Linked DNA regions of Arabidopsis thaliana. The protein of the gene in region 1 binds, or shares a complex with, the protein of each later gene. Each region holds a gene or a part of one and is shown in the gene's direction. Other genes may lie near its edges.

Region 1 (6,436 bases):
AATCTTACATCTTTCACATCCAACTCTGTAATAGACTAGCTTTATAGTTCTTTCAATTTAACAATGATGTTCATTCTTGTTTTTTTTTTTTTTCATTTGGCATTAACAATGATGTTCATTTATCATTATCAAGATATTCACACACACCACACGAATTCCACCAGCTTCATATTCAAAAACAAGGGTTCCAAAAGATAATTATGCGTGTTATCGATACACTATTAAATCAAGAAAACCGAGAAGCAGTAGTTACTATTTTCAAAGACTCGTTGTTCAACACTCTTCAATCTCATCCCACCACATAGAACACATAAGTTACAATCACGGCATATAACGTACGATATAGTGTATATCATCAGTGTAAGAAAAAAAGTAAATAAATATGTTTTTTGTGTTTGCACAAATGAGTTTTATTCAGACAAAAATTCACAAAAACTTGTAAAAGCAAAAATTTATCTATTGTGCAATGGATTAGGACCTGTGAAGACCCTTCTCTTGCCATCTTCAAAAACATCTTCACCACCACCTTCATAATTAGTATATTTTGATCCTCTTGATGACGCAGCATTGGAGTCAAGATCATGAAGCTTTGGATCCAAATTTCCAGATTTCTTCAAGCTTCCATGAGTTGAGTGATGATGTATATTAGGAGAAGACGATGAAGCTTTAGCGTAAAGAAACAGAAACAAAAGAAGAAGAAGGATGATCAAGGCAACTGTAGTGATGTGTTTCCTAGATTTTCTTCTAGAGTAGTAATTTCCCATCTCTTAGGAATCTTCAAGATATGAAGAGTTTCTCTATAAGGTATAGATTATATATTTAGAATCGATTTTTGCAAGTATAAAAGATCTGATCAAGATCTCTTAAATAAATTCTCTCTCAAAGTCTGTAAGAATGAGAAGAGAGGAATGAAAGTGATGGAAGAAAAAGCTATGGGGCTTTTAACCTATGACTTCCTCTAAAAGTTTGTTGCTCTCCCTTTCTTATTCTCCACCACTTTCTACAAATAAAGAGAAGAGAAACTAGATAGAGGTTTGTAAATATATATATCATTAATTTTTAACGAAAGTTTTTTTTGTGTGTTGAATCATTTCCAAAGGTCTTAGCTGGGATTACTAGGTCAAGTGGTAGTAATTAGTGTGGTTAATAATATACTTATAGTGGTTAGTTTTAGAGAGTAATGAGGGTGTGATAATAAAGCATATAGAGGAAGGTAATTATGTGAAGGGGGTCAAAAGTAGAAAGAAATAGAAAAGAGAGAAGAAGGGGCCAAAAAGGGAATTGGAGTGATGATTCTAAGACTTAGCTTTCTTTGGGGAAAATGATGTTGTCTTCACTCCCTTTTTCTTCACCCACATTTACACTCACTCACACACATGAAAAAATCCACTTACCACTTGAATCTTCTTCCTCTCCATTTTATATAAATGTTGTATATCTATATTTGCTTCTCGTTTTTTAGTCTTTCTAAGATTACTTTTTTTTTTTTAATTTTACTTTATTATGAGTTAAGAAAGAGAATAAAGAAAACAGTATCACAAGAACTAAATTACATACATGATACATATATGGATATGATTCTCCAATATGCATCTTCTACCTTCGATAAACGTATTTACAACTTGTGCAACAAATGTTTTTAAGAAATCAAGCTGAAAGTTTATAGAAGAAAAAACAAAGACTTACGTCCAATATTTGTCAAGAAACACCATATGTGATATGTACCTCAATATATCCTCATCAGTCATCACGTTTTTATATATTATATTCCCATTTATTTTACAGCAGACAAATCATCATTTACATAGTAGAGAGCAGGTATACAAACTCAAATCCCCAAAAATACCATTATTCCATTTTGTTCTCGTCAAGCACTTTGTCTCTGATGTTATATCAGCAAATATACACGTATGTATTCATCGTATGTTTCATCTTAAATTGTAGAAGATATTGTTAGGCATGTCTCGATCGGATTAGACCTGTCCGACCAACCCAAAACACTGAAAACTTACATTATTTATGTTTTGATAATTTTCGGTCTTATAATGGTTTTTTAGAATAACAATTCATGTTTTTCACTCAAGTAAATAAAAAATATAGAAAGAGATAACAATCTAAATCGGATATAAATAGTCGTGGATATTTTTGTTTGGATAAGAGTACCACCGGTTAAAGAGAGATTCATTACTCGGTTCGAATACGGTTTAGCTAATGGAAGATCCTTGATTTGTCTGGTTAAGTGGGCCGTGTTGAAGGAGCGCGTGAAGCCCACGCGGAGCCCTTGAATAATAATAAAAAAAGGCTGACTGTAATTTGTTGATTATATTGAGAGAGAAGCCAACGGAAGAAAACAGAGAATAATTCCTCTCTCATTGGTCATCAGACACAAAAGACTCTCAAACCCTAACTAGTCTCGCTTTTTCGCTCTCTCGAACCTTCTTCGATCTCTGTCCTTTCTCGATCACTTGCTAAAATCAAAATTTTAGGCGGGAATTCGATACCCAAGCCCAAGACCCAAACACTTCCCCCCTCACGTTTCGCTGCTTTCGTTAGCTAGCTTTCTCAAACGAGATCTGGGCTTGTCGAAAGAAACGTGTATGTTGATTGTTTCGATTCTTTCTCCTACCAATTGAATCTGAGATTTTGGTTTTGCTATTGGGCTCTGTCTTGTTTCGTTTTCGAATTCCAAATTCCTCAATTTCGAATTTCTCTTCTGCTTGAAGCTTTTTTATCGAGTCTAATCTTCGTTTCTAGTGATTACTTCGCTTGTCTGATTTTTTTTTTGTTAGCTTCATTCCTAAATAGAACAAATTGATGAAACTTTCTTGTTGACTAGATCCAAAATGTATGGACTTGGTATCTAATTTTACTTTTACAAACTTCCGAAAACTTTCTAGGGTTTTGTTTCTGATGCTAGTTTCATTTTTTTTGAGCTTGGAGCAGAAAAGTTGAGAATTGATAGCATCTAATGCTAAATTAGATTTTCTTACTTCTTAGTTTTGGTCACTATGAAATATGAGCTGGTGCTTAGTTATAACTTTTGTATTGTTTGTGCTACAGAATTGTTAGTTTAGATAGTATCGAAGCTGAATTTGCTTTCTGTAGTAGTATTATTTCCTTATCACTCTATGCTTTTTCTGATTTTTGTTTCCTTGTGTAGGATATATATGCAGTGAGCCAGTGATCATGCAAAAGAAATTCAGAGTGCGATAGAGAAGATGGAGCCTGAACGTTTAAAATTTGGAGGTACATTGGTTTCGAATTTGGAGCTTCTTCAGTTCGTGAAGTTATTTTTTTTGTAGCTCGTTGTCCTTTGTTTTCCCCTTTGGCTCACCTTGAGGTCAATGTGTTGTTTGTTTCAAGTGCAGGTCCAAGAGAGTTGTGCGGTGCTGCGGATCTTATATCTCAATTCAAACTAGTGCAACACCATGAATTCTTTTGCAAGAAATCTCTTCCTGTTTCTTTATCAGATTCCCATTATCTTCATAATGTGGTTGGGGACACAGAGATCAGAAAAGGAGAAGGAATGCAATTAGATCAGCTTATTGAGAGCATATCACAGAGCCGGGAGACTAATATTCGCATCCAGCCTTTTGATATAGATGAGCTTCAGGAGTCTTTCCAACTAAATGATATGACTCCTGTTGAATTACCCCCAGTAAGAATCTGATCTTTCTCACTCTCTCTTGGTGTTTTGAGTTTTAAATGTCCTTCTTTTCATAAGAGTAACAGTATTTGCCATTACATTGAACTTAAAAACTGGCTCAGTAATGAATGTCCTATTTCCTGTAACATCAAGTTCTTTGGTTAATTGAGAATCTTTCCCTAGTAATGTGAATTACATCTGGGTGTCCTATGGAGATGATTGACCTTGGTACTATTCTTCTTTCAGGCAGAGAAGGGAGCTCCTACAATTCCGTCTAAGTCAAAAAGTGAGTCGAAAGATAGGGACAGGAAACATAAGAAACACAAGGACAGGGATAAAGACAAAGATAGAGAGCATAAGAAGCACAAGCACAAACATAAAGATAGAAGCAAAGATAAAGATAAAGACAAGGACCGAGACAGAAAGAAGGACAAAAATGGCCACCATGATTCGGGTGATCATTCTAAGAAACATCATGATAAGGTAAAGAACATGTCTGTTTGTTGAAGGTGTCTGTCTTTCCAAAGAAGAATAGCTTAATGGAAAGTTTTGTATTTGTTGCTCTTGAGTTAGGCTGCTTTTTTGACCTGCTTGGCATGAAATTAGCAGATCTAGAGACTGCTCTAGAACATTTTATTGAGTTTTTATGGAGCCTTTTCACTTATATTTCAGAAAAGGAAACACGATGGAGATGAAGATCTTAATGACGTTCAGAGGCACAAAAAAAACAAGGTAATGGTAATGAAGTGGGGCCTCAAATTTTTCTCGTTCTTCATTAACACTCAACATGAAATTTCCACCATAATGTTTTTTTTGCACAAAGGTGCTAGAGAACTAGTAATATGTCTTTGATAAATTGTATTGATTCAGCTCTTGATTGAACCTGTTGCAGCATAAAAGCTCAAAGCTTGATGAGGTGGGTGCAATAAGGGTTGCTGGCTAAAAAAGTTGTAGACATTCCAATTTTGTATTCTGCACTCGAGTAGGTGTCATGGAGACTTTAGAAGCACTTTTCAACTCACTGTAGACAGCTTATTAGGTAAGCATCTGTGTACTGTCCTGTCTCTTTTGTACAATTTTTTCGGTGTTCTTGGTATTCCGGGATCCTTCATAGAACATATACATCTGTTATAGTCCAGATACTATACTTTAGGGGAACTGAACCCATAATATTTTTAGGCAGATACTTGAGTTTTGTGTTGTATTCTTTAAGTTACTGAAATCCAAATAACGCAACATTTGCAAGGGAACATTGTATGTGTCTCTGTGCGACTTCTGTATTGGTATTGGATTCTTTTCTGGTCTTAAGAAAGTTGCCGTGATACATAACTAATGAAAATCGGGTAACCTGTCGAAAGAACATATCAAAGATAGGATGTGTTTCTAAATAGAACAGTCTCAGCTAACACAAATCATTGCTTACATTTTTGTTACTTTCTTATATTTTCAAGTTGTGTTGAACAAAATGATTGGCTTTGTAGGTTAAAAGCCCAAACTGGTGAATTCATTCCTTGAAGAAGAAAGGGGAAATTTGTGAAATGAAGAAGAAGAATTTAGTATCATAATTGATTTGGTGTCAGATTTGTAACATTTTTCTTGGGGTGTTCTATTCCATCTCTTTTCTGTCTATATACTCAATACAACACAAATCGTTACTATTCATGTATAATAATTTACTTACCAATTGATGTTGTTGAAAAAGTAACTGTCAAATCCACTTATTTACTTTTACTTGAGTGTCACAATGTCTATCTGTCTGCGACTATGCCTGTAAAAATTGATCAAATATCTGAACTATTTTCTCAAAAATATGTCGGATTATATGATTACATCTGTCGAAATCTCAAACACAAATTGTAACACTAGAAGCCATCCCCGAGAGTTCTCCATCATTTACTCTTTTCCATTCACCATCTATCATAAGGCAGCTTCTACTTTCCTCTTCATCATTCCACATCAGATTCTCTTCTGCTACAGTTTCAGTTTCCTCATATGCATGTTCTATTTCCATCTCAGCTTCTTCCTCGTATGATTCCAATGTCACATCATTTGATTCAGAATCTCCTGCACTCTTCCTTGCTCGCTTGCATGGCGATTTCTCCAATTGATTTCTATTACACTCAGCTCCTCTCTTCGCATTGTTGTTACCTTGTGCTTGTTTTGAGATGCTCTTAGCATTCTGATTGTCAAGAAGAGGTAAACGTCCAGAAGATCCAATGATCCGAGGCAACATACCAATTGGACAAGGGCTCCATGTTTTTGCCTTTCTCCATCTGTTACCGGTTTTGTCTGTGTCAATACCTTTCTTCTTTGAGAGTTGAAGTTTGACGAACTCAAGTCTCTTGCCTGCATTACCGAGATTCTTCTCTTGCTCAAGGAGCGTTGTACTAGCTGTTACAAGAGTAGAACTCTGTTTCAATGGAACAATTGCAGAGCTTTTATGCATAAGAGGAAGTTTTATGAGCTTCTCCTTTAAGACACGGCCTCCCACAATCTCTGCGAGTAGAAATGCTGATTTCAAAACCAGCTCATATCCTAAGGCTCCCAAGACAAGACATCTACGTATAAGTTCCATAAGGAAAATGCTTGGAGGTTTCACTTCTAGAGAACTGTTTCTCTGAAAATGCTTTGATCCATTGAGAAGACTCACAAGCCATGCAAACAAGAAAGGGACCTGCTCAACTTGAGAAACCTCTTCCACTGGCTTTTCTGTAAGATGCAAATTTAGATACAATTCATACATGTTAGAAACGATCTGAAAACAATTTAAAGTTTCAACTGAGGATCCTT
Region 2 (9,192 bases), on another chromosome or scaffold:
TTTTGTTACCTGTAAATGACTTTTAACTTCGTCATTAGTTAAACCATCGACCTTCATAAGATCTCTAATCTGCTTAGGCGTAGCAACTGCATATTTGACAATGAACAAAAATTAAATATATACTTCTCGTAAAATTATGATTCTCAAACAATCAAAGGATTTAATATATTTACCATGTGATCCACCAAGTTGTTGAAGCGCGTGCAAGAATCTGCGGTGTAACTCCGGTGACCAGCAACGTCTTTGCTTCCTATTCGAATGAGATTGTTTCTGCTCCTCAAACTCTTTTCCACCCCCGACGGTTTCCGCCGTGGAACTAGTTGTCGTCGTCGACGTCGGAGTAATTGCTTTAATAAGTGGTTGAGAATCTGCAGCCTTAGGTTTCTCCTTTTGAAACGGTTGAAACGCACCAGCGCTGCGTTTGACTTCAATTACCATCGGTTTCTTATTATTAGGTTGTGGATCTGGTGATTGGTTCCACAATTGAACAGATCTAAGCCAATCCGATTTCTTCTTATCACCATCGTTATTTTCATTGGTCATCATCTCAGTTTTCTCAGCTTCTTCATCTTTATCGGTTTCATCAGATGAAGCAGAACTCCACTTGATTGGCATAAACTCTTCAAACACGGCACCGCCGCATTCACTAGTTGTCCGCTCAGAACATTCTGACTGGCCGCCAACATGTTCTGAAGATTCCGATAACTCCTTCCGACATGACTCGATAGCTACAAGAATGATATGTAAACAATTAAGAAACTGGAAGCGATCGTGAAAACGAAGAATATATATATCAAAAGAGGATGTGTAATAACATTACCTTGGGTTACAAGTTCTAAACATAAAGGGAGCTCACGTTGAAAGACTTGAATCTTTTTTTGTTCTTCTTCTAGAGCTTCTACATATTCGTGACATCTCTTCATTTTCTGGGTGTAATCCATGTCACCGCTCTTGAACATCATCATTATGAACAGATCTTAGACTCGTTTTTGCTATGAGTTACAGTTACGAAAACATAAATCTTGAGAGAGACAGAGAAGAGTTTTGGATCTAAAATGAGAGAGAAAGGATAAAACTTTGACGTTTTTAAGTTGGAAGTTTTAAAGGGCAGAGAAAGAGGATTGGTGTCTAATCGAGGTCGGGCCGTCGCGTACCTAAAACCGAATCTTCTTGATGTTTAGATTTATTCGGATTTTACTTGGGAAAGGGTAGAATGGTAAATATAGGAATAGGCTGAGGTTTGTTTGATACAGGGAGAATATTCGGGGATATGTGGATTCCTTCCTTTCCATATTCTATCGAGCTGGCGATGATGTCAGCATTCTCATGACGTTGACGTTGAGATAAGAACGACGAGTCATTTTAGTCATTACTAACTCTTTCTTTTTTCTTCGGTTATTCTCTACCTATTTTAGAAATATACACATGAATTTTTTTGTAATAACAAACGAGTGAAGAAGAATATCCATAGAGATTGGAATCAAGATATGTAACCAGAAAATTTTAAACATTCATTAAATTTACAGTTTAGAATATATTATATGGTATCATATCATAAATTACATTTTTATCAGAAAAGAAAAAGATAAAGAAGTTTTTGGCAAAAGTGGAGGAATATTCCTCGAGAGTAGGGGAGAAACTAAGCTGGAAAAAAACATATTAAATTGGAAAAAATTGGGAAGGAGAGAATCTTTGGAAGAGTGACATTCACACATATCCAGATCCCCCCGTTTCCTCATGAATTGTTAAATTTTGGCCCTTCACGCTATCGAAGAGCCACCTGCCCCATATCACACCAACCTACTCGCCTCTTTTCACGCGCTTCATTGTGTGTTGTTGTGTTGTGATATATTCAAGCAATTCTCGTGAATACCTGACGATTCTAAATTGGTTGGCGACAAAAACACACACAAAAAAACACACACTATAAAACGGAATTAAGTGTCTAATTTTGAGTATGTATTCTTGAGAAAATTTCTCTAAATAGTTTGGAGATTGAGGTTTTTGTACTGTCTGCTACGGTTACCAAACTGTAGAAACTATTGTGTATCAATAATTAAATTTGGATTTTTAAGGACAATTGTAAAAGCTTATAACTAGGTGATGGATTGAGTTGTGGTAAAGTCAAATTGTTCGAGAGGTCGTAAACAGTGAGAAGCAATTTAAGGAAGATGATAATTATTCATTTGTGATGGTTTCTTTGAGTTATGGTCTTATGGATAATGTCCATGGATGTGAAGACCACCAACATTGTATTAGATAAAAAAAAACTACCACGTGAAAAGTAGTTGATTTTGGGTTCTCATGACTTCTCACAAACTCACGTTTCCATAGCATTGCATGGCAATTTACAATGTGTTGCCCCTCCCTTAGTACTACCAATACTACCATATGAACAACGATCGGGATCAGCAAAATCTATAGCTTTGTAGCCGTCTTCTATGACTCATCTCTTCCACAAAAAGTCATTGACATCAACTAGTCTAAGATGACTGACATACGAAATTGGATCCTATTTTCCACTAGGCCACTCTGAAAAGAAAAAAACACAGATAAAAAGGCCATGCGGCCCATGTCCAACTTTTGGACCAATCTTAAATGGCCTTCACAATGGTTATCATGGCCTTTATTTGATTCAAGTCTGGACTAACTACAACTATGTATACAAAATGTTTATCCACATAGCCCAAAATAAGATATCAAATTGGTTACTTTCATTTTTTTTTACGTGATCGACCTTAAGCTTGTTGTTAGTTTTGGCGTTCGATGAACCACCTCCAAACCAATTATATTCTTCACAAGATTCTCTGCATTTATCCCACAGATGGTAAACAATCTAATCAAATTAAATTCACTTCTTCACCAAAAAAAATAAAATTAAATTCATTGCCCAATTTACACAAATAAAAAGATAGTAACGACCAAGTCCTTTGTATATCCCATTTTCTATTCGGAGCATCCAAACCAAATTTTGTCAATCTAATTTATCTTCTCCTCTCCCGGAGAAGAAGGAAACTTACAATTTACAAAGAACGAGCTTCAATAAAAATTTCCAAAGAAATTACCGTCGGCGAATCGTTAGGCTCGAGAAGAATCACCAAATTCCAAGGGGAGAGAGACTGAATTTTCTTTTGATTCACGTAACAACAACGCTCAGAGACTATGTCGTCGGAGGTGAAACAGCTGATCGTCGTTGCTGAAGGCACCGCCGCTTTGGGTCCTTATTGGCAAACCATCGTCTCCGACTATCTCGAGAAAATCATCAGGTTTTTCTTTTTATGAACCTTGTATCTCTTTTAATCCTCGTTATTTGATTTTCATTCGGAGTTAGGGTTTAGCTGATACCGTTCGAATCAGGCTTTAATTTCAATTGGTTAGATCAAACCTTTGTTTATCCTCTGATTCCACAATGTTTTGTTGTTCGTTGTTAGTACTGTGTTTATGTATTTGATTGTTCTGTGTTTCATATTGAGCAATCACTTTACGTTACCTTATGGTTCCTACATTCTTTTTTTGTGTTAGGACATTGTTTTCGATACAACGCATTCATAAAGCAATGAATTTGTAGTTTCTCACTTCGATCACGTAAAATTGATATTAATATGTGATTACAGAGAATTTAGTATATAATTGCCTGTATAGTTTGTAACTAATCACATTGTTGGCTATTCTTAATATCCACTCAACATAGTATTGTATTTCAAAGTAGCGTTTTTGTATGTTAAAATTTCAATTACATAATCTGTCTATGCATTCTTTGCATTTGTCCAGGTCTTTCTGTGGCAGTGAGTTAAATGGAGAGGTACTATATCTGACTTATCCTCGTTTTTAAGTTTACTCAAGTTTTCATTCTTGAGCAAACAGTTAATCAATGTTTTTGACCAAACTCATATACATTCGTTATCTGTCAAATCATTGCGACACAAAAAATAACAGAGCAAATTGGTAGTTTGATGTGTCTGATCGAGTCTTTATATATTCACTAAACTTGCAGAGGAACCCTGTTTCTACTGTTGAGCTATCACTGGTGATCTTCAATTCTCATGGTTCATATTGTGGTACGTGTTGTGCTTCATCTTGTGATATCCAAATACAAATATTATTTGGGTGCTTTCTCATGGCCCTGGTTACATTAGCTTTTGTTTTAGTAATGTTGTTCTTATCTTTCATTCTTCTTAGCTTGCTTGGTACAACGGAGTGGCTGGACAAGGGATGTTGATATTTTCTTGCATTGGCTTTCTTCCATACAATTTGGTGGTGGTGGTTTCAATGAGGTTGCCACAGCTGAAGGGCTTGCCGAAGCATTGATGGTGGGAAACTTGATCTCTTTTCATCTGTGACACAACTATAAGACATATGTTTGGGCCACTTTCTTTCAAGCTACTTTTGACTAATTTACTTTCTCAATAAAATTAACTTTTTTCTTTCCATGGCTTCATTTTATGTGGTGGTGCTTCTGTCAGCGATTTTCTCGATCCTTAAACCTCACAATTTTCTCTGACTTCATGACACAGATGTTTTCTCCTCCTTCAGGCCAAGCTCAACCAAGTAACGATCTGAAAAGACACTGTATCCTAATCACAGCCAGCAATCCTCACATATTGCCAACACCTGTATATCGTCCACGATTGCAAAATGTGGAACGGAATGAGAATGGTGATGCGCAAGCTGAGAGTCGATTATCAGATGCTGAGACAGTGGCTTCATATTTTGCTAAGGTACTTTTTTTAACTGATTCCCCCAGGTATTACAACTAGCTATAATTACTCCTTTTAATGGGAAATTACTAACCTGCCATATTGGTGTGCAGTGTTCTGTTTCTTTGTCTGTTGTATGTCCAAAGCAGCTTCCAACAATTAGAGCACTATACAATGCGGTGAGACTGCGTGTCTATTTGCTATTCACTAGATGTACATCTATCAAAAGTCTTTCTTTTGTCAGACAGCTCTTTCAAAGGCTGTCTTTATTCTCAATGCTATAAACTGGTGTAATCTTTGTTTTATACTGTTTTAAATGCAGGGAAAGCCCAATCAACAAAGTGCGGACTTGTCAATTGACACGGCTAAGAACACATTCTATCTTGTCCTGATCTCGGAGAATTTTGTGGAGGCATGTGCTGCCTTAAGTCATTCTGCTACAAATTTGCCACAGACTCAGAGCCCTGTGAAAGTGGACAGGGCCACTGTTGCTCCATCTATTCCAGTCACTGGGCAACCTCCAGCTCCTGTGTCATCAGGTTCTTCTACTGACAACATCCATTTTTCTTAGTCCAACTATCTTGATTTTTCTTTGTGCTTCTTTGGATTCTATCCTGCTTCTCTATATGAAGATCTCTTTTTGTATGATTTTCAGCCAATGGACCTATTCAGAATCGGCAACCAGTTTCTGTTGGACCAGTTCCAACTGCTACTGTGAAAGTTGTAAGTCTATTTGATCTTTTTAGTCAGTTGGAGGAGTCAGCTCTATCTATTGGCAACCGACTCTTGTATGTTTTATAAGAATTATTTACTAGATATTAGCCGAAAATGAATTGTAAATTTATTCTCTGGTGCTTGATAAGACATTACAAATTTTTATGTGTTAATCAACTAGATTTAATGTTAAGTTCATATGAATATCCCATTTGTGAAATAATATTGTATACTCAATCAGCTTATTAGATAGCATATCTTCACATTAGTAGAAGCCTGTTAATCAGATTTTTGGAATGAAATTGCAGGAGCCTAGCACCGTAACTTCTATGGCACCAGTTCCTAGTTTTCCCCATATCCCGGCTGTAGCTCGGCCTGCTACACAAGCAATTCCTTCGATTCAAACATCTTCAGCATCACCAGTTTCTCAGGATATGGTCAGCAACGCCGAGAATGCACCAGATATTAAGCCTGTGGTGGTCAGTGGAATGACGCCACCATTGCGTACTGGTCCTCCTGGTGGAGCCAATGTAAATCTGCTTAATAATCTTTCTCAAGTCCGACAAGTCATGAGCTCTGCAGCTCTGGCAGGTGCAGCCTCATCGGTTGGGCAAAGTGCGGTTGCAATGCATATGTCAAATATGATATCAACAGGAATGGCTACATCTTTGCCTCCTTCACAAACTGTGTTTTCAACTGGACAGCAGGGAATTACTTCAATGGCTGGTTCGGGTGCACTAATGGGATCTGCACAAACGGGACAAAGCCCGGGTCCTAATAATGCCTTTAGTCCTCAAACAACGTCAAATGTCGCTTCAAACCTTGGTGTTTCACAACCAATGCAAGGGATGAACCAAGGAAGTCATTCTGGAGCAATGATGCAAGGTGGAATTTCCATGAACCAAAACATGATGAGTGGTCTTGGTCAAGGAAATGTCTCCTCTGGAACAGGTGGAATGATGCCTACTCCAGGAGTTGGCCAACAAGCGCAATCAGGAATACAACAACTTGGTGGCAGTAACAGCTCAGCTCCTAATATGCAGCTATCACAGCCATCATCGGGGGCTATGCAGACTTCACAATCCAAATATGTGAAAGTCTGGGAGGTAATGTCAGTTTATCTTGTCTAAAATAACGGTGATCTTGTGCTAACTTTTACTTACATTTTCAAATTCATGCAGGGAAATTTATCTGGGCAAAGGCAAGGGCAGCCTGTTCTTATCACCAGACTTGAGGTGTGTTTAGGGGCACTTACTATGCACTTTTCTTTCCCCTTTTCTGAATTTACTGGGATCACATGCTTAAGCACATCTTCCTCTGTAGAACTTTGTTGAATTGTTCCAAGTAGATATTAACTAACGTCTTTGTTTATATTTGACAGGGTTACCGAAGTGCTTCTGCCTCTGATTCGTAAGTTTATAACTAATTGAAATATGAAAACTGCTTCCTTACTAAACCTTGTCAGGAGAGCAGTCGACTCCTTAAGAAATGATTGTAGCTGCTAAACTAATTTTTGCTTTCTCTTTTTGTGCATCTCCCCAGGTTGGCAGCAAACTGGCCACCAACTATGCAGATTGTTCGTCTCATATCCCAGGACCATATGAATAACAAGTAATATCTTCGTGCTATATCCTTCCTTATTCCAAATGGCTCATGGGTGGATGTTGATTTCATGCCACTAAATATTTCACCTGACTTTGCATCAGGCAATATGTTGGCAAAGCTGACTTCCTTGTGTTTCGGGCCATGAGTCAACATGGGTTCTTAGGACAACTTCAGGATAAAAAGCTTGTGAGTATTGTTGATAATTTATGCCACTTGTCTCCTTTTCCTTATTGTTTCACTACAAATTTAATAACAAAATGATGAATGGTGTTTACTGGTTTATTAGATATTAGGATGAATTAGATGTTAAGAATGAAAATCTTTGAAAAAATATATGTACTTACATCTGTAAACATGTTCTCGGTGAATCTATCAATCTCTTGCTATGTTCACCATACACTTAACGATGCCTACGCTTGTATGTAGCCTTGTTTTGATTAGCCTAATCGTGTGCCATACTATTGTCATTTTCACGCTTAGCTTTTGTGGAGTTGTATATGATAACTTTGTCATCCTCCGTATTGCAGTGTGCAGTCATCCAGTTGCCATCACAGACGCTTCTTCTCTCTGTCTCTGACAAGGCTTGCCGCTTGATTGGAATGCTTTTCCCAGGGGTAAGGAAGTACTAAGTTTAAGGTGTCTATATATGTTTTGCTTCACATTAGTGACTCTTGAGGGTTGTTTTGTTTACTCCTAGGATATGGTTGTGTTTAAACCACAAATTCCAAATCAGCAACAGCAGCAGCAACAACAACTCCACCAGCAACAACAACAACAACAGCAGATCCAGCAGCAGCAGCAACAACAACAACACCTCCAACAGCAACAGATGCCACAACTCCAGCAACAACAACAACAACACCAGCAGCAACAGCAACAGCAGCATCAATTGTCACAGCTCCAACATCATCAGCAGCAACAACAACAACAGCAGCAACAACAGCAGCAGCATCAATTGACACAGCTTCAACACCATCATCAGCAGCAGCAGCAGGCGTCGCCGCTGAATCAGATGCAGCAGCAGACTTCGCCGCTCAATCAGATGCAGCAACAGACTTCGCCTCTGAATCAGATGCAGCAGCAACAGCAGCCTCAACAGATGGTAATGGGTGGTCAAGCTTTTGCACAAGCCCCTGGAAGATCACAACAAGGTGGTGGTGGAGGGCAGCCTAACATGCCTGGAGCTGGCTTCATGGGATAAATAAAAATATCAGCTTCAGTGCTAATTAATTAGATTTATCATAACTTAACATTCTTTCTTTCTTCTTTGGTCAACTCGATCGTCGCCATGGTTTTAGACTCTGTTTAGTTGTCCTTTCTGTTCTTTTGAGCCTGAAAATGGCATGTCCTATTCTGTATGGGTCTGACCATTTAGCTACGGCACCAAACTATTTTGTCATTTTCTTAAGATAAATAGAAAAAAAGTGGATGATTTCTATTTTGTTGGTGTTTCTATATGCTGATAATAACTTGTTATCTAGCTTTTTATTTGATTGACAAGGAAATAAAGGATCAAACCCATTTCATAGTTGGGTCATGATTGGACTTTGTGTTTTATTTGCAGGTAAGAAATATACATTTCTATTAGAAAAGGTTTATGGTTGATAGTTAAACAAACTTATCTAAATATACCATTTCCAACTGCATATTGCATCAGAGAATTACTTGCTCAAAATTACATCATTGACAAACTAGGATTTTTTAAATCTTTTAAGTTTAAATTATCATCATAAATCAAATTTCATTTTGAAAACCAAGAAAATAGAAACCCGTAAACCTTACACAAAAATGCTTCTCATGTTGTTGTAGCTGTTTTCTTATTTTTCTCTTTTGGAACAGATCATCTTTTGTTTTAGTTCCGATAAAGTCATAAGTATAATTTGGAACAAATACTGTTATCATAACATCCTTGAAATTTAGAAATAAATTATAGCTTGACCACCAAAACTATTTGATAAGTTGTTGTCTAGAAACAAAAGCATAATTATTAATATTTTGATAAGACGTAGTAACTATGACGCGCACTAATTCGAAATCGACAGTGCTTTTTGGAAATCAAAGACAACAAACATGACTTCTCTTCGATTTCCACTCTAGCTAGAGCTCACTCATTGAGTCATTGTTCGAATCGAGGTGAGTAACTTTGAGGTGGAGGGTCCCTTTCACGTGGCACATA
Region 3 (9,103 bases), on another chromosome or scaffold:
CATTCCTCTGTTTTAGCATAATAGAGAGATTCATTAACGTAAGTGTTTGGTGGCGTACGTTAACATAGGTGGACTACATACTAGGAGATAATCCAATGAAAATGTCGTACATGGTTGGGTATGGTTCGAGGTTTCCACAGAAGATTCATCATCGTGGCAGCTCGGTTCCTTCAGTTGTGGACCATCCTGATCGTATAGGGTGCAAAGACGGATCTCGTTATTTCTTCAGCAATAATCCTAATCCTAATTTGCTAATTGGCGCCGTCGTTGGTGGGCCTAATATCACCGACGATTTTCCTGATTCGAGACCTTACTTTCAGCTGACTGAGCCCACTACTTATATCAACGCACCTCTTTTGGGCCTACTTGGTTATTTCTCGGCCCATTATTGATTTCACACCTCGAACTCGAACGAAGCATGAAAGTCTATTTTTGTTGTGAAACATTTTTAGTTGATTGTTACCGATTAGTAGATTCACTAGATTCTCTAAATCTACGAACAAATAATTGTATAAATTAATCGAGTACACAATAATCAATTTTTAATCATATGGGAGTTAGGAAAAACAAAGAGTAATAATGAGAGAAAGGGGGAGACAAGAGTAATTAATATTTTGATGACCAAACTAATCAAAAATCAGGAATTTGTCTTTTGGACTTTGGTCGGCTGCTTTACGCTTAACACAAAAGAACGCTATTTTGTCTCCTCCACGCAATTACCTCTTCTCACTCTCAGACATTTTGTCAAACAGATGGTGCTCGTTTCTGAATCAGCTTAAGAACTAACAAGGAGACAGACACTAAGCTTGGTTTTTCTCTCCGATTAGACGGAGGAAAAAGTGAAAACGAGGGGCTTAGACGAGTGATGTGATAGAGATGGAAGGAGTTGAGCTAGAATTAGAAAGAAGAAGCAAGTTCTTGAACAGTTTGATACAGAAGAAGAAGGCTAAAGAACAGCAAGATCAGAAAGATGAGTTCAATGTTCGTGTTAGGGCTTCAGATATGCCTTTGCCTCAACAGAACAGAGCCTTTAGTTTGTCGCGTGAGATTTTGAATGCTACTCCAGGGAAGGCTGATAACAAAAGACTCGCTCATGCCCTAAAAAAGGTTAGATCTTTTGTATCTCTCTCATGATTTTTCTGTATTTGGGTTGAATTGGAGTCATTGAAGTCTAGTACTTGGATTGAGTTTTGAATTTTGACACAGAATCTAAAAGTATTGAGCTGCTTTTGGGTTCTAGGGCTACGTCTCAAAGTCGCATGCTTTTTGTAGAATGTGGTTATGGTCTTCTCTTTCTTGATTGGTTTGAAGATGTGATGAATCTTGAATTTGGATTTTCGTTTGTGTACTTGCATATTGTTGAACTTCATGGATGGTCCCATATTTGTTAGGTTGCATTTGACTTTGTTCCATTGTTGTTGTCTTTTCTATTTGTAGCTTCGGTTAGTCTACTTGACTAGGTTGTTTTTGTATTGCGAGGATAACTGTAGTAGGAGTCTCGTTGTGAAATGTCTTGAAACTGGATGTTCTTGTTGTTTATTGAGATGATTTTGGAGCTGTCTTAGGCCATAACTAATGAGGCATAGCATGCACCATCTGCTAAGCTTCTGTATCTTTGCTGTTAGAAATTAGTTGCTACCTAATGATAACTCTGAAGCATGCTTGCTTTAGGAAGTGAGCCTTGCCTGAATACAACCTTTTACAAAGGACTTGGTTCGACACCCCATATATAGAGTTGTCCATTTATGCAGTTGTTTCTCGTGAGGATATTGTTCCTTCTTAAAGCGGCTTTGATAATTAGCTTTTGATTTTAACTTATGGAGCGAAATGGAGCAGTTCCCTCAATTTATGCGACTAGGTAGAGGCATTGATTGATCCATACATTGATTTTATGAAGTGGTTGAGTAAAACAATTTAGTGTTCACTTATCTGTGTGCAGCTTACTTGTTTGTCTCAGTGTTCATCAATCTCTTAATAATGGCTACCTCCCTTTGGCTTTTAGGATTGACATACGAGTCAATTTCTGCTGTTGTCTTGTTTTATCTTCTTGTTCTGGTAATATAGATCTCTTATCTCGAAATAGATCTTCATATGTTTCTTGTCTCTATGTTTTCTCCTAAATCCAGCTTCTATGTTATCCACTGAAGTGAATCTTAGACTCCCATCTGTCTAATGACATGTTGCAGCTGATTTAAAACTATATATTCACGAAACAGTTTTCCATCTGTCTTCCATTTCAGGACTTCGATTCAGCCTACGGCCCGGCATGGCACTGCATTGTTGGAACAAGCTTTGGTTCATACGTGACTCATTCCACAGGAGGATTCCTATATTTTCAGATCGACAAAGTTTACGTTCTTCTCTTCAAGACTGCCGTGGAGCCGTTAGATCAAAAATGAGATAAAACGTTGATGATCAGAGCATCTTCAATTTAATCCTTTTCTTTTAGAATTCTCTGTCTTGTATCCCACAATGTAATTCTGCCTAAGACAAAATCTTTGTGGCTCCTATTGTGTAATTAGAAGTCATCTTCTCTACTGTGAATCGTTTCAACTTCACAATGCAAAATATTGTTCTTCTCTTTCTCAAATTCTAATTTTGTTTTTTTCGTTGTTGTGTTGTTGTTGTTGTTGACATTTTCTTCTCTTCAAAAGAGCTTTAAACCCAAAACCTCTAATACCAATTTTGCTCCTCCGTTTTATAAGCATCAAAGAAAAAAAGAATCAGTGAAGAAGAAAAAAAAATGGATCAATCGCAGCGAACAGTCGCTGCAACGCCATCGTCTTCTCGATCGTACCAATTCCACCCAGCTCGTGCTGCAATTATCGATCTTTTCAATCTCTACTTAGGGGTTGGTTAATCTCTTCTCCAATCTCCCAATTTTTTTCATCGAATTTTGTTTCTCTGCTGATTTTGCTTTCTCTATCACAGAGAGGAAGCCGTCAAAAGCCTGATGAGTCCCTCCGAGATCCCCCGTATGTTGTTTCTATTGATTCTGAATCAACTCTTGTTTTCTCTTCCTTCTGTGTTTGATTTTATCCATGTTGATTGTTTTGATCAGGAACAAATCACAGAAGCGTGTTCATGCTCCTAATAGAGACTTACCACCAAGAAACGAGCAATTCCTTTTGGATTTTGAGCTGCTTCAGAGCCAATTCAATGTAAAGTCTCGTTTTTTAACTATCTTTATCTTTCTCTTTGTGATTTCGTAAGATAAAGTTTTTTTTTTTTTTCCAACTCTTTGTTAGGATCCAGAGCAATTGAGGACGATTACTGAGTCAGTTTTGATATCTCTGGTGGTGCAATGTAGCAATCATGCGCCTCGTGCTGAGTTTCTACTCTTTGCTTTGCGTACATTGTGTAGGATTAGTTATATCAATTGGGATACTTTTTTACCATCCCTTCTCTCTTCCGTTTCCGCTGCTGAGGCGTCGTTAAGCCAAGGTGTTCAAGCAGCAGCGGCAACGGCTGGTTCTTCTGCTACTTCTTCGCAGTCTGTAGTTCCTGTGTCTGTGAATCCAACGTCATTGCTGCCTTCAGCTCATGGTATTGGTTCTCCATCAGCTTCAGAGGTGAAATCTGTGGAGAATGGGCAGCAGATTGCAAGAGCTGGCCAGATTGTAAGAGAGAATGCTATGAGAAATAGTCAACGGATTAGAGCTGCTGCTGTAAACAGTCTGCGTCAGCTCAGTTGCAAGATTATCTTGATTGGCGTTGAATCTAGTCTCAAACCCGTTACTCATGCCGAGATTTTCCAGTACATGATGAATTGGCTTGTTAACTGGGACAGGAGAGATCTGGGAACTGAGGACTCTGTAGGAAAGTCGTGGAGATCTGAGAAGACTTTAGCTGAATGGTTGCGGAGTTGTTTGGATGTGATCTGGCTGTTGGTAGAAGAGGGTGAATCTCGAATTCCGTTTTATGAGTTATTGCGCAGTGGTCTACAGTTTATAGAGAACATACCTGATGATGAAGCCTTGTTCACTCTTATCATGGAGATACACCGGAGGCGAGATGCGATGGCCATGCATATGCTCATGTTGGACCAACATCTTCACTGTCCATCATTTGGTACCCATCGTATAGTCTCCCAAATAACTGCCAATGTTCCACCCGAAGCTGTGCCACACTTACGACATTCACCAATTACATATCCAAGTGTGCTTGGGGAACCTTTATATGGAGAGGTGATTCCTATGAAATTGTGGAGATTGGTTTCATAGCTTAGTTGGCTCTTGTTGATATTGTGTAATGTATACGCTTTTCATTAGGCAGACAATTTGTGAATTTCAATCCTCTCTTCTTCTTTTTCGACACCGGCAGGATCTGGCGATGTCTATTCCAAAAGGAAGCCTGGATTGGGAGAGAGCAGTGCGTTGCATTAGACATGCTATTCGCACTACACCGTCACCGGACTGGTGGAAGCGTGTTCTTGTTGTGGCCCCTTGTTATAGACCATCTACACAAGCAGGGCCTATCCCTGGTGCTGTATTCACTTCTGACATGATTTGTGAGGCAATCATTGACAGAATTGTTGAGCTTCTTAAGCTGACCAACTCAGGCAATGTTTGTCTTTCCCTATTTCTCATGTCTTTGATCTGTCACTTCCATTTAAATCTGTGGAAATTATTTTGAAATAGCAAGTGGTTTTGCTAGTCGTCACAATCTGTAAAGAACCTACATCCTTTACGTTTTATTCTAGTTCTATAATCGTTGATTCGTTAGGCTTAGATAGAAAAGATAAAAGTAAGAGTTGAGATACCATTATACTAGGATTGCTTTGGTATTGATTTGGTATCTGTTACTTTTCCCCCTCTCTATGCAGATGCAAATTGCTGGCAAGAGTGGCTGGTTTTCTCGGATATATTCTTCTTTCTAATCAAAAGTGGGTGTACTGATTTTGTTGATTTCATTGACAAGTTGGTTTTACGCCTTAACGGTGTTGATAACCATATTCTTCGGACGAATCATGTGACTTGGCTGCTTGCACAAATAATACGCGTGGAGCTTGTGATGACTGCTTTGAACTCAGATGCTAAAAAGGTCGTTACTCAATTACAATGATATGTTTGCAGCTGCAATGCAATTACTTGTACTTCTTTTTCGGCGAATTTAACATCCCAATTTGTGCTCTATTTGGGTTTTCTCTCAGGTGGAGACTACTAGGAAGATCTTATCATTTCACAGGGAAGACAGAAATTCTGATCCCAACAATCCTCAGAGTGTGTTGCTTGACTTCGTAAGCAGTTGTCAGAATCTACGGATTTGGTCACTAAGCACAACAACTAGGGCATACCTAAACAATGAACAGCTGTTGAAGGGAAAACAGATCGATGAGTGGTGGAGAAGCAAAGGTACATAAGGTTTCAATGGCAGGGCTTAGACTAGGAAGCAGAGAATCCCGATTATAAAAAGCATCCTCTCATTCTGTTTCTTGTTTGGGGTTGTCAGGAGAGCGGATGATGGATTATATGAATATGGATGATAGGTCGATTGGCATGTTTTGGGTTGTTTCCTACACCATGGCACAACCAGCATGTGAAACAGTTATAAATTGGCTATCTTCAGCTGGCATGGCTGAGTTACCGGGATTACAGCCAAACGACCGAGTAATGATGACGCAGGAAGTTACCCCGTTACCTATGTCATTGCTATCTGGCTTTTCAATGAATTTGTGCTTGAAATTGGCCCTTCAGATGGAAGAAGCTTTGTTTGTTAGCCAGGTTTGTTTCCTTTGTCTCACAAAGATATTATATATGTTAATTGATACACTGATCTATGAAGAACATCTTCTTTGGTCATTTTTACTTAGTGACCTATTTTCTCCACGGTTTAGTAAAACAACTTTAGCGTTTTACTTGTTTAAAAATGTTAATAGTAGATTTTAAAAAACCTGAGAAAAATGAATTTAGTGTCGTAGTAAAACATCTGAGTGCAGGTTGTTCCTAGCATTGCAATGGTTGAGACATACACAAGATTGCTTCTGATTTCCCCTCATTCGATGTTCCGTTCACATTTCAGTGTAAGCTATTTGGTTCCTTCTGTTACCTTTTGACTTTCATTATCTTATGTTTTATTGATCATAAGCGATTCATAAGATTAGCTAACTTTCTGTAGCAATTGGCCCAGCGAAATGCTTCTCTGCTAAGCAAGCCTGGAGTGACGTTACTTGTTCTTGAGATTCTGAACTATCGGTTGCTGCCACTCTACAGGTAAAACGAGCGAAAAGTTCTCAAGTTGGAGTAGATCCTTCTTTATGTTTTAACTGGGTCATTCTTTTAGTTAGATGACAATTGTTTCGGGCTTTCGCCATATTGGCTGTTAGACCCGACTAAACAAAATTACTGATCTTATTGCAGATACCAAGGAAAGAGTAAAACTTTAATGTATGATGTTACTAAAATAATATCTGCATTGAAAGGAAAACGTGGTGACCACCGTATATTCAGACTAGCTGAAAACTTATGCATGAATCTCATTTTATCACTCAGAGACTTTTTCTCTGTGAAACGGGAGGGAAAAGTAAGTGGTGTTTTCGAATTACTCACTGTCCCCCTTCTTATTTTGTGCCTGGATCTCAGGTGTAAATAATTGTTCTTATGTTATCATCACTAGGGGCCAACTGAATTCACTGAGACGTTAAATCGCATAACCATCATGACTCTTGCTATCACTATCAAAACACGTGGTATCGCAGACCCTGATCACATGGTTTATCTGCAAACCATGTTGGAACAAATACTCGCGACGAGTCAGCATACATGGTCAGAGAAGACGATGCGGCATTTCCCATCCCTTCTCCGTGAAACTTTGAAAGGACGGGTAGACAAGAGGGGCCTATCAATTCAGGCATGGCAACAGGCTGAAACAACTGTGATAAACCAGTGCACTCAACTTCTCTCACCATCTGCTGAACCCGCTTACGTTTCAACATACCTCAGTCACAGTTTTCCTCAACACCGTCAGTATCTATGTGCTGGTGCTTGTCTGCTGATGCAAGGCCACGCTGAAAACATCAACAGCACAAATCTGGTTTGCTTTGCTTAGTCTATTCATAATTGTGAAATGATTGTTTGTTGATAGTGGTATGATTTTCTCTTCCAAATGATTATCAGGCACGAGTTCTGAGAGAAGTTTCTCCTGAAGAAGTCACTGCTAACATATACACTTTGGTCGATGTTTTGCTTCACCACGTTCATGTAGACCTTCAGCAAGGACAATCTCTAGAGGTTTCTGTCTGCCAGAAGAGATTAACCTCACTTTTCGTTGCTTGATCCATCTTCTTACATTGCATCGTAATATTTTTTAGGCAGTTCTAGACAAGGCAGGCGCAAATCTTGCATTTTTCTTCTGGACACATGAAATGCTTCCTCTCGACATTTTTCTTTTGGCGCTCATTGACCGTGATGATGATCCTCACGCCTTGATAATTGCAGTATGTTCATGCTTTTACGTAAAAGAAGCTTAACATCATAGAAATTTTACAGTGTTGTTTTCAATTTATTTACAGATGAGCCTACTTAAAACGCCAGACCTTCTGCTGAGGATAAAAAACTACTGCCAAAACCGTGGGTCTCCTGAGCACTGGCTTGTCACACAGGTGTTCAAACGCAATGAACTCCAGAAGGCCCTGGGTAACCATCTTTCTTGGAAGGACAGGTAATATATCCAATTCAACATCAGTGTAACTGATTTCTAACAACAATTTCACTTAAGTACATGGCTTTGATTGTTTGATTGGTTTTGTTGGCATCCAACCATAAATGTGTGATGGAACCTTCCATGAAAACTTGTGTATGACTAGGAAATAGTTGAATTTTGGTTTGATCTGTTTTAATTTTGGTGTTGGATTCTGCTAAAGTTGGGTAAATGTTTTACCTATTTTTTTATTGTGTTAAACGCAGGTATCCAACGTTCTTTGATGATATTGCAGCGCGTTTGCTTCCAGTTATCCCTCTAGTGCTTTACAGGCTCATCGAGAACAATGCGATGGAGCAAGCTGATAATCTTTTGCTTGCACACTCGCATTTTCTAGCGTATCATCCTCTCAGATTCACGTTTGTCCGTGATATACTAGCCTATTTCTATGGCCATCTTCCTGGGAAACTTGTTCTGCGCATGCTCAAAGTACTTGATCTCAGCAAGGTAATTGAAAACAATTCCCGATCTTACATTGATTCTGAAATTGACCTCAAGTTGATGCCGCTTTTGGATTTTAGTTTAGAGATTTTGTTTCTCACCAATTTATCTAGATACCTTTGTCCGTAATCGTTTCCACATTCGATTAAAATGGAACGTAACAAATCTTTTGACATTTCCGCAGATTCCATTCTCTGAATCATTCCCGCAGTACATTAGCCCTACCGGTGCACCTGTATGCCCACCTCTAGATTACTTTGCCTCTCTTCTGCTTAATCTCGTAAACAATGTTATACCTCCACTTAGCAGCAGCAGCAACTGCAGCTCGAGGTCTGGCTCAATGGCAGACATCTTAAACAGCTCAGCAAGACCTCCTCATGGAAAAACTCCAGGAACATCTCAGCCTGGACCAGCAAACGCCTCTGAGGGCCAGAAAGCATTCTATCAGATCCAGGACCCAGGAACTTACACGCAACTGGTTCTTGAGACAGCCGTGATCGAGATCCTCTCGCTTCCTGTCTCTGCTGCTCAGATTGTCTCTTCGCTTGTCCAGATAATTGTCAACATACAATCGACTCTGATTCAATCTGGAAACGGGTTCCACGGCGCTGCCAACGGGGTGGGACAAGGGTCGGTACTGCCAACGTCTCCCTCTGGAGGGAGCACAGACTCCATGAGCGCTAGCCGGTCCACTTGTCTGATTCCTGGTATCAACACAGCGAGCTTTGTCTCTAGAAGCGGTTATACATGTCAGCAACTGTCGTGTCTGTTGATTCAAGCTTGTGGACTTCTGTTGGCTCAGCTCCCTCCAGATTTTCACGTACAGCTTTACTTGGAGGCAGCACGTGTGACAAGGGAAACATGGTGGCTTAAGGACGGGAAGAGATCACAAGGTGAACTAGACTCAGCTGTTGGATACGCTTTGATGGATCCTACATGGGCTGCTCAGGATAACACCTCGACC
Region 4 (4,591 bases), about 21 Mb from region 1:
CAAACTCAATATGCCATACATAAGCTCTGATCATTACTAGATTAGGAGCAAGAATCAACAAAAATACAAAGCATAGATTAGAATCTGCACATTTAGATTAATATATAGTTAAGCAAGTCTGCAGTTTTGCTGCAATAACTTATAAGTTAACAGGAAAAATGAAAAAGAGCTTTTTTGTTTTGTTTTGTTTGATCTCTCTCTCTCTCTCGAGTAAGTCATTCGAATCATAGACATATAAGAATCAGACACTTGCAGGGTCGAAATGATGATTAAATCTCTAAGCTTCTGGTTCCATAGCTCAACTGCACAACATTGTACAAATAATCAAAGGTGTGAGTCAAATCAAATAATGGATATCAAAATTGTGTATTTTACAAAGTTTTGTTTATGAATCTAAAGAAATGAGCCAGATGATACTGTAAATTGAGCTTCTTTGATATTATCAATTTTTAGCTTATTTGATGAGAATCAATGAAGATGACACAGAGCAGCAAATTCCTCTAAGACTAATCAAAGCAAGCTCATGAAGAATCTCAATAACCATAGATAATCAATTGCAACAAGCTACATTGCTGAATATTACTAGAATTCACTTACCCTTGGCTATCGAGATTACCATGGCCGCTACTTCCTCCACTTCCATAAGACACATCATCACCACCACCAGCTGAATTCTGCCAAACGCTTTGCCATGCCTGAGAAGGAGGCTGAGCATAAACACCGCTAGGATCCATCGCCGGTCTTCCAATCATCATCCCTCCAGGAACCGCCGGTTGTCCCATCGGTGGATAATAATAAGGAACACCGCTCGCGGCGGGAGCAACCATACCTCCTCCACCAAGAGCCGATGCTGCATCTTCCTCTTCCTTGATCTCTTCCCTAGGAACAATATCAACAAGGAAATCGAAGATATCGGTTCTAGTAATCGCAGCAGCGATATCGTTTTTCTGAAGCGTACGACGTTTGTTCTCTTCAGCGTGAAGCCAAGATCTAATCGTAAGTTCGAGAATGAAAAGCTCACAAGCTTTCGCGAAGAGAATCGGTGCTTCGGCGGAGATCATACGCACATCTTCATCAGCTTTCATGATTTTTTTGATACGAGCTAGAGGGAGCTGATGGTTTTTGAAATCGTTTACCTGTTCGATCTCTTGTCTCTGGTATGTCCAGAACATTTGAAGCTGTTGCTGTTGTTGCTGGAGGAGGTGGTGGTATGTCGCTCCTCCTCCGGTGACTATTGATGCAGATCCAGATGGTGGAGGAGGGATTACGGTTGTGACGGCGGAGCCAGGTGGATAGACGGAGGTTGGTGGTGGTTGCTGGTTGTTGTTGTTGTTGTTATTGTCCATTGGATCTTTGCCTTGTGATTGGATCAAAAGATCAAACTAACGTTTTAGATAGTTTTTGTCATATGGATTGGAGTAATAGTGGATAAGGTAGACAGCGATGTAGCTGATTTCTTTCTATTTTTATTTATCTATAAAAACTATATTATTGATATATATATTATATAGTTTGATTAAAACGACATCGTATTAATAGTTTAGTCAACCGACGCCGTGATAAAGTGTGTTCACGGTGATGCTGCAGAAACAGGTCTCGACGACGACGACGATGACGACACAGGAGCTAGCGATGGAAGGAGAGAAGCAATTGGAAGAAACTATTGAAGCGGCGTTTCAGATAATTTCAGCCATGAATGATGAGCTTTGTAATCCGTCTTTGTGGTCTACTTCAGCTACCCCGAGTTCCGCCGCGACGACGACGGGTTCTAATGGTTCGGCTCTCGTTTCCGCCGATGCGGCTGCGATTGATGGAACATCGCATCATTCGGAATCTGCTGGTGGTGGCGGGGGCGGAGGAAGTGGAAATAGTGTTTTGGATGAGGCGAGTCTTCGGTATAAGAACTCAGTGACTTCGCTTCGTGCTGTTCTTGCTGCGATTCCAAATTCGCAGAAGGTATTGAACATAATGTGATGTTACTAACTATTTCGAGAAGTGTTTTGTTCTGAGTTGTTTCTGGACTGAGGAAATTTTGAATTCCTAGGGTGTTTTGAGATCTTAGATTAGGAAATCTTCGAATCGATAGAGAGTTTAGATGAAGGATCTAATGCTTGTTGAGTGTCTTGTTCTTCACTTGTAGTGAACTTGCTTAATTTTAAATGAGAGCTTTTTTGAGGTTTCATAAATTTGAATTTGTTCATCTATTACAGGCAAAAGCATCTGAAATGCAAAATGGTTTAGGATCTCCTGAAAGTGAAGACGAGATCGAAAAATTGGAGGAGCAAGCCTTAAGTCTCAGAATGGTAAAGCTTTCTGCAATTTCTACATCTCTTTGTTTTCAATCTGATGTTACTACATTGATACACTATTCAGTCTCGAATTCTCTGTACATTTCAACTCACATAGCATTGAATTTGATTCATATTTTCTTGTATAAAGTGTTCTTTCCCACTGTCTAGTGTAAGTGTTTGTATCATTATAGCTTAAGCGGTTCTAGAACCATGGAAATGTTGATAATTTTTTGAATACATTTCAGCCATCTGGTCATTTTGATTTCTATGTTAATAACCTTATGGGAAGTGATTATATTGTTCTTCTCTGTTGGCATTAATAAACGGAAGCTTTTGTTCATGCAGGAGATTGCAAAGAAGAATGTTCATGTTAAAGAACTTATAGATAAACTTCGGGAACTTATAGCAGATATCTCTACATGGCAAAGCCCTTGTTCTGTTTGAGTTTTATTTTTTTGACAATAGTGAGATCAGTTTAGACAAAGATTCTAAGCCTTGTTCTTGAATTACTCCATGTATTAGTTTTAGATATTTGTTATTTTGATATCATGAAGCCAAAAAAATAATCAAAAATGACTTTTGTATATAAAAATATTTCAGACAAAACCTTCAAACCCTGTGTCTGTTTTTCTTTTTTGTTTGTATTGATCTGTTAAAGAAACACTTCTTGTAGTGTTTCTGAGGAATCAATGACCGAATTTTCTGAGAAAAGCCATAAAACCAAGACCAGCTACTAATGCTGCACCAGCCGCAACTCCACTATAAGCAGCAGCCCAAGCGTCTGTCTCTACATACTCCATTGATTCTGCTGATCCTGATGCTCTTCTCCTTCTTCTTCCTTTGCCTTCTCTTGAATCATCCAAATGTAATCTCAGACTCTGCAATTTATAATGATCAAATCAATTCAGAAAGCAAAAGGGGTTTATGGGCAATCTCATGAAGGTTTCATCTTCGACTTTGGTTCTTGTTGCTTATCAACCAAAAGTTTAAAGCAGGAGGAAATCGTTCTTTTTACCTTCCAGCCAATTGATTTTGCATGCTCTATGGCTGCTTGAAGGTCACTATCTGAAGCCAACAACACTTTATCGTGGTCTTCATCTTCATACTGCACATTATAACCATCATTTTAACAATTCAGGGGGTGACAAGAGAAGAATTAGATAATGATTGCATCATAGTCTTTATGTAAAAGAAAATATTTACCAAAATTTGGGGGAAGTTATCTGGATCGATATCATCCCCTACCCTCTGAATGATCGCGGTTATCACCTCTGTCAAACTCCGAGTGTCTGCAAAAAGAACCAATTCAGTTAAGTAAAAGCAAGACTACAACTATTTACTTGATGAATAAAAATCAAAATTATTTTTACCGCTTATGAATCTGTGTTTCCTGTGCTTTTTGTCTTCAATTTTGAAAGAAAATGTATTTGCAAAAGGGAAAGATTTTCCTGTCTCAGCTTCGGAAGCAACCTTCATGGAGCTCTCACTGAAACAAATTGTTCCCCATGTTGTCAACAAAGTCAGCAAAACCAAAGCTTTCTTTGAAAAGAAACTCGATAAATAGTGGAACAAGTAAGACTAGCTAATAACCTTCTCGAGTCCTCATCGTCCTCATTAGGAGACAATGCCATAGCTGAATCCCAAAACTTTTGCATCATTGTGTTTGTCGCCTCATTACCTATTCCCGCAGTAGTTCCAGCCTGAACACATCAAAATAACTACAAGATTGAAACATGTATCTAGAAAAAAGAGAACAGTGGATGTTCTAAACGAAAAAATTTACAGACGGTTCAAGAGATGGGAGTTACTGTGGCAACAGCAGCGTGAGTGACATGGATTACATCGACAACAGCAACTACATCTCCTTCTGCAATCAGAAACCCATTTATGGTTTACATGCGTTTGCCTTTTTAGTTTTTGTAAGACTTTACAATTGAAAAGGTTTCAGAATTCTCACCTTTGTCAGTAACGGGAAGGTGTAAGAATTTTCCCTCGTGCATGATGTGTAGAGCTTCAACAATTGGTGTGTCAACTATCGTAGATTCTGGATTCTGAGTCATAACCTATGCATTAATGAATACGAACAAATGGTTAAATTCAGGAAAAAGGAGCAACTATCACTAAGCTGGAAATAAGAGTCTAAGATGGTTGAATAATACAAGACCCTGGAGACTAATCTTTTAATCTTACCGTTTCCACTAGAGTCTCAGATGGAGGAAGATTTTCAGCCACAACCCGCATCAGTATATCCTTGGAACTAGATAAATGAAAAAACAGAACTCTTGAAAGTTAGTGATAAT

Evidence for each region.
Region 2: MED19A (region 1) and PFT1 share a complex: the UniProt entries of both Arabidopsis thaliana proteins name them as parts of the mediator complex.
Region 3: MED19A (region 1) and AT1G23230 share a complex: the UniProt entries of both Arabidopsis thaliana proteins name them as parts of the mediator complex.
Region 4: MED19A (region 1) and AT5G63480 share a complex: the UniProt entries of both Arabidopsis thaliana proteins name them as parts of the mediator complex.

The regions. Positions count from the first base shown.
Region 1 is NC_003076.8:3,952,068-3,958,503, reverse strand, and holds MED19A (mediator of RNA polymerase II transcription subunit 19a-like protein), read left to right. Parts: upstream 1-2,318; 5' UTR 2,319-2,595; intron 2,596-3,160; 5' UTR 3,161-3,218; coding exon 3,219-3,246; intron 3,247-3,368; coding exon 3,369-3,658; intron 3,659-3,892; coding exon 3,893-4,129; intron 4,130-4,318; coding exon 4,319-4,378; intron 4,379-4,538; coding exon 4,539-4,589; 3' UTR 4,590-4,685; intron 4,686-5,127; 3' UTR 5,128-5,364; downstream 5,365-6,436. Other genes in the region: AT5G12236 (uncharacterized protein), read right to left, coding at 222-356; CLE22 (CLAVATA3/ESR-RELATED 22), read right to left, coding at 453-764; AT5G12220 (las1-like family protein), read right to left, coding at 5,490-6,355. UniProt on the Arabidopsis thaliana protein: Component of the Mediator complex, a coactivator involved in the regulated transcription of nearly all RNA polymerase II-dependent genes.
Region 2 is NC_003070.9:8,968,417-8,977,608, reverse strand, and holds PFT1 (phytochrome and flowering time regulatory protein (PFT1)), read left to right. Parts: upstream 1-2,793; 5' UTR 2,794-3,162; coding exon 3,163-3,266; intron 3,267-3,771; coding exon 3,772-3,802; intron 3,803-3,994; coding exon 3,995-4,058; intron 4,059-4,179; coding exon 4,180-4,310; intron 4,311-4,514; coding exon 4,515-4,718; intron 4,719-4,810; coding exon 4,811-4,876; intron 4,877-5,019; coding exon 5,020-5,236; intron 5,237-5,352; coding exon 5,353-5,420; intron 5,421-5,719; coding exon 5,720-6,517; intron 6,518-6,592; coding exon 6,593-6,646; intron 6,647-6,792; coding exon 6,793-6,821; intron 6,822-6,953; coding exon 6,954-7,022; intron 7,023-7,117; coding exon 7,118-7,202; intron 7,203-7,543; coding exon 7,544-7,630; intron 7,631-7,713; coding exon 7,714-8,217; 3' UTR 8,218-8,544; downstream 8,545-9,192. Other genes in the region: AT1G25550 (myb-like transcription factor family protein), read right to left, coding at 10-86, 174-728, 821-965. UniProt on the Arabidopsis thaliana protein: Component of the Mediator complex, a coactivator involved in the regulated transcription of nearly all RNA polymerase II-dependent genes.
Region 3 is NC_003070.9:8,241,738-8,250,840, forward strand, and holds the start of AT1G23230 (mediator of RNA polymerase II transcription subunit), read left to right. Parts: upstream 1-2,702; 5' UTR 2,703-2,743; coding exon 2,744-2,851; intron 2,852-2,931; coding exon 2,932-2,975; intron 2,976-3,061; coding exon 3,062-3,161; intron 3,162-3,248; coding exon 3,249-4,187; intron 4,188-4,323; coding exon 4,324-4,566; intron 4,567-4,773; coding exon 4,774-5,043; intron 5,044-5,152; coding exon 5,153-5,354; intron 5,355-5,451; coding exon 5,452-5,723; intron 5,724-5,938; coding exon 5,939-6,022; intron 6,023-6,117; coding exon 6,118-6,212; intron 6,213-6,359; coding exon 6,360-6,522; intron 6,523-6,615; coding exon 6,616-7,032; intron 7,033-7,115; coding exon 7,116-7,229; intron 7,230-7,309; coding exon 7,310-7,435; intron 7,436-7,510; coding exon 7,511-7,659; intron 7,660-7,904; coding exon 7,905-8,145; intron 8,146-8,323; coding exon 8,324-9,103. Other genes in the region: GH9B6 (glycosyl hydrolase 9B6), read left to right, coding at 69-392; AT1G23220 (Dynein light chain type 1 family protein), read left to right, coding at 877-1,107, 2,241-2,399. UniProt on the Arabidopsis thaliana protein: Component of the Mediator complex, a coactivator involved in the regulated transcription of nearly all RNA polymerase II-dependent genes.
Region 4 is NC_003076.8:25,415,739-25,420,329, forward strand, and holds AT5G63480 (mediator of RNA polymerase II transcription subunit), read left to right. Parts: upstream 1-1,510; 5' UTR 1,511-1,578; coding exon 1,579-1,956; intron 1,957-2,210; coding exon 2,211-2,303; intron 2,304-2,636; coding exon 2,637-2,735; 3' UTR 2,736-2,897; downstream 2,898-4,591. Other genes in the region: NF-YC4 (nuclear factor Y, subunit C4), read right to left, coding at 594-1,346; AT5G63490 (CBS / octicosapeptide/Phox/Bemp1 (PB1) domains-containing protein), read right to left, coding at 2,978-3,169, 3,307-3,396, 3,495-3,580, 3,662-3,777, 3,882-3,991, 4,100-4,158, 4,249-4,354, 4,482-4,548. UniProt on the Arabidopsis thaliana protein: Component of the Mediator complex, a coactivator involved in the regulated transcription of nearly all RNA polymerase II-dependent genes.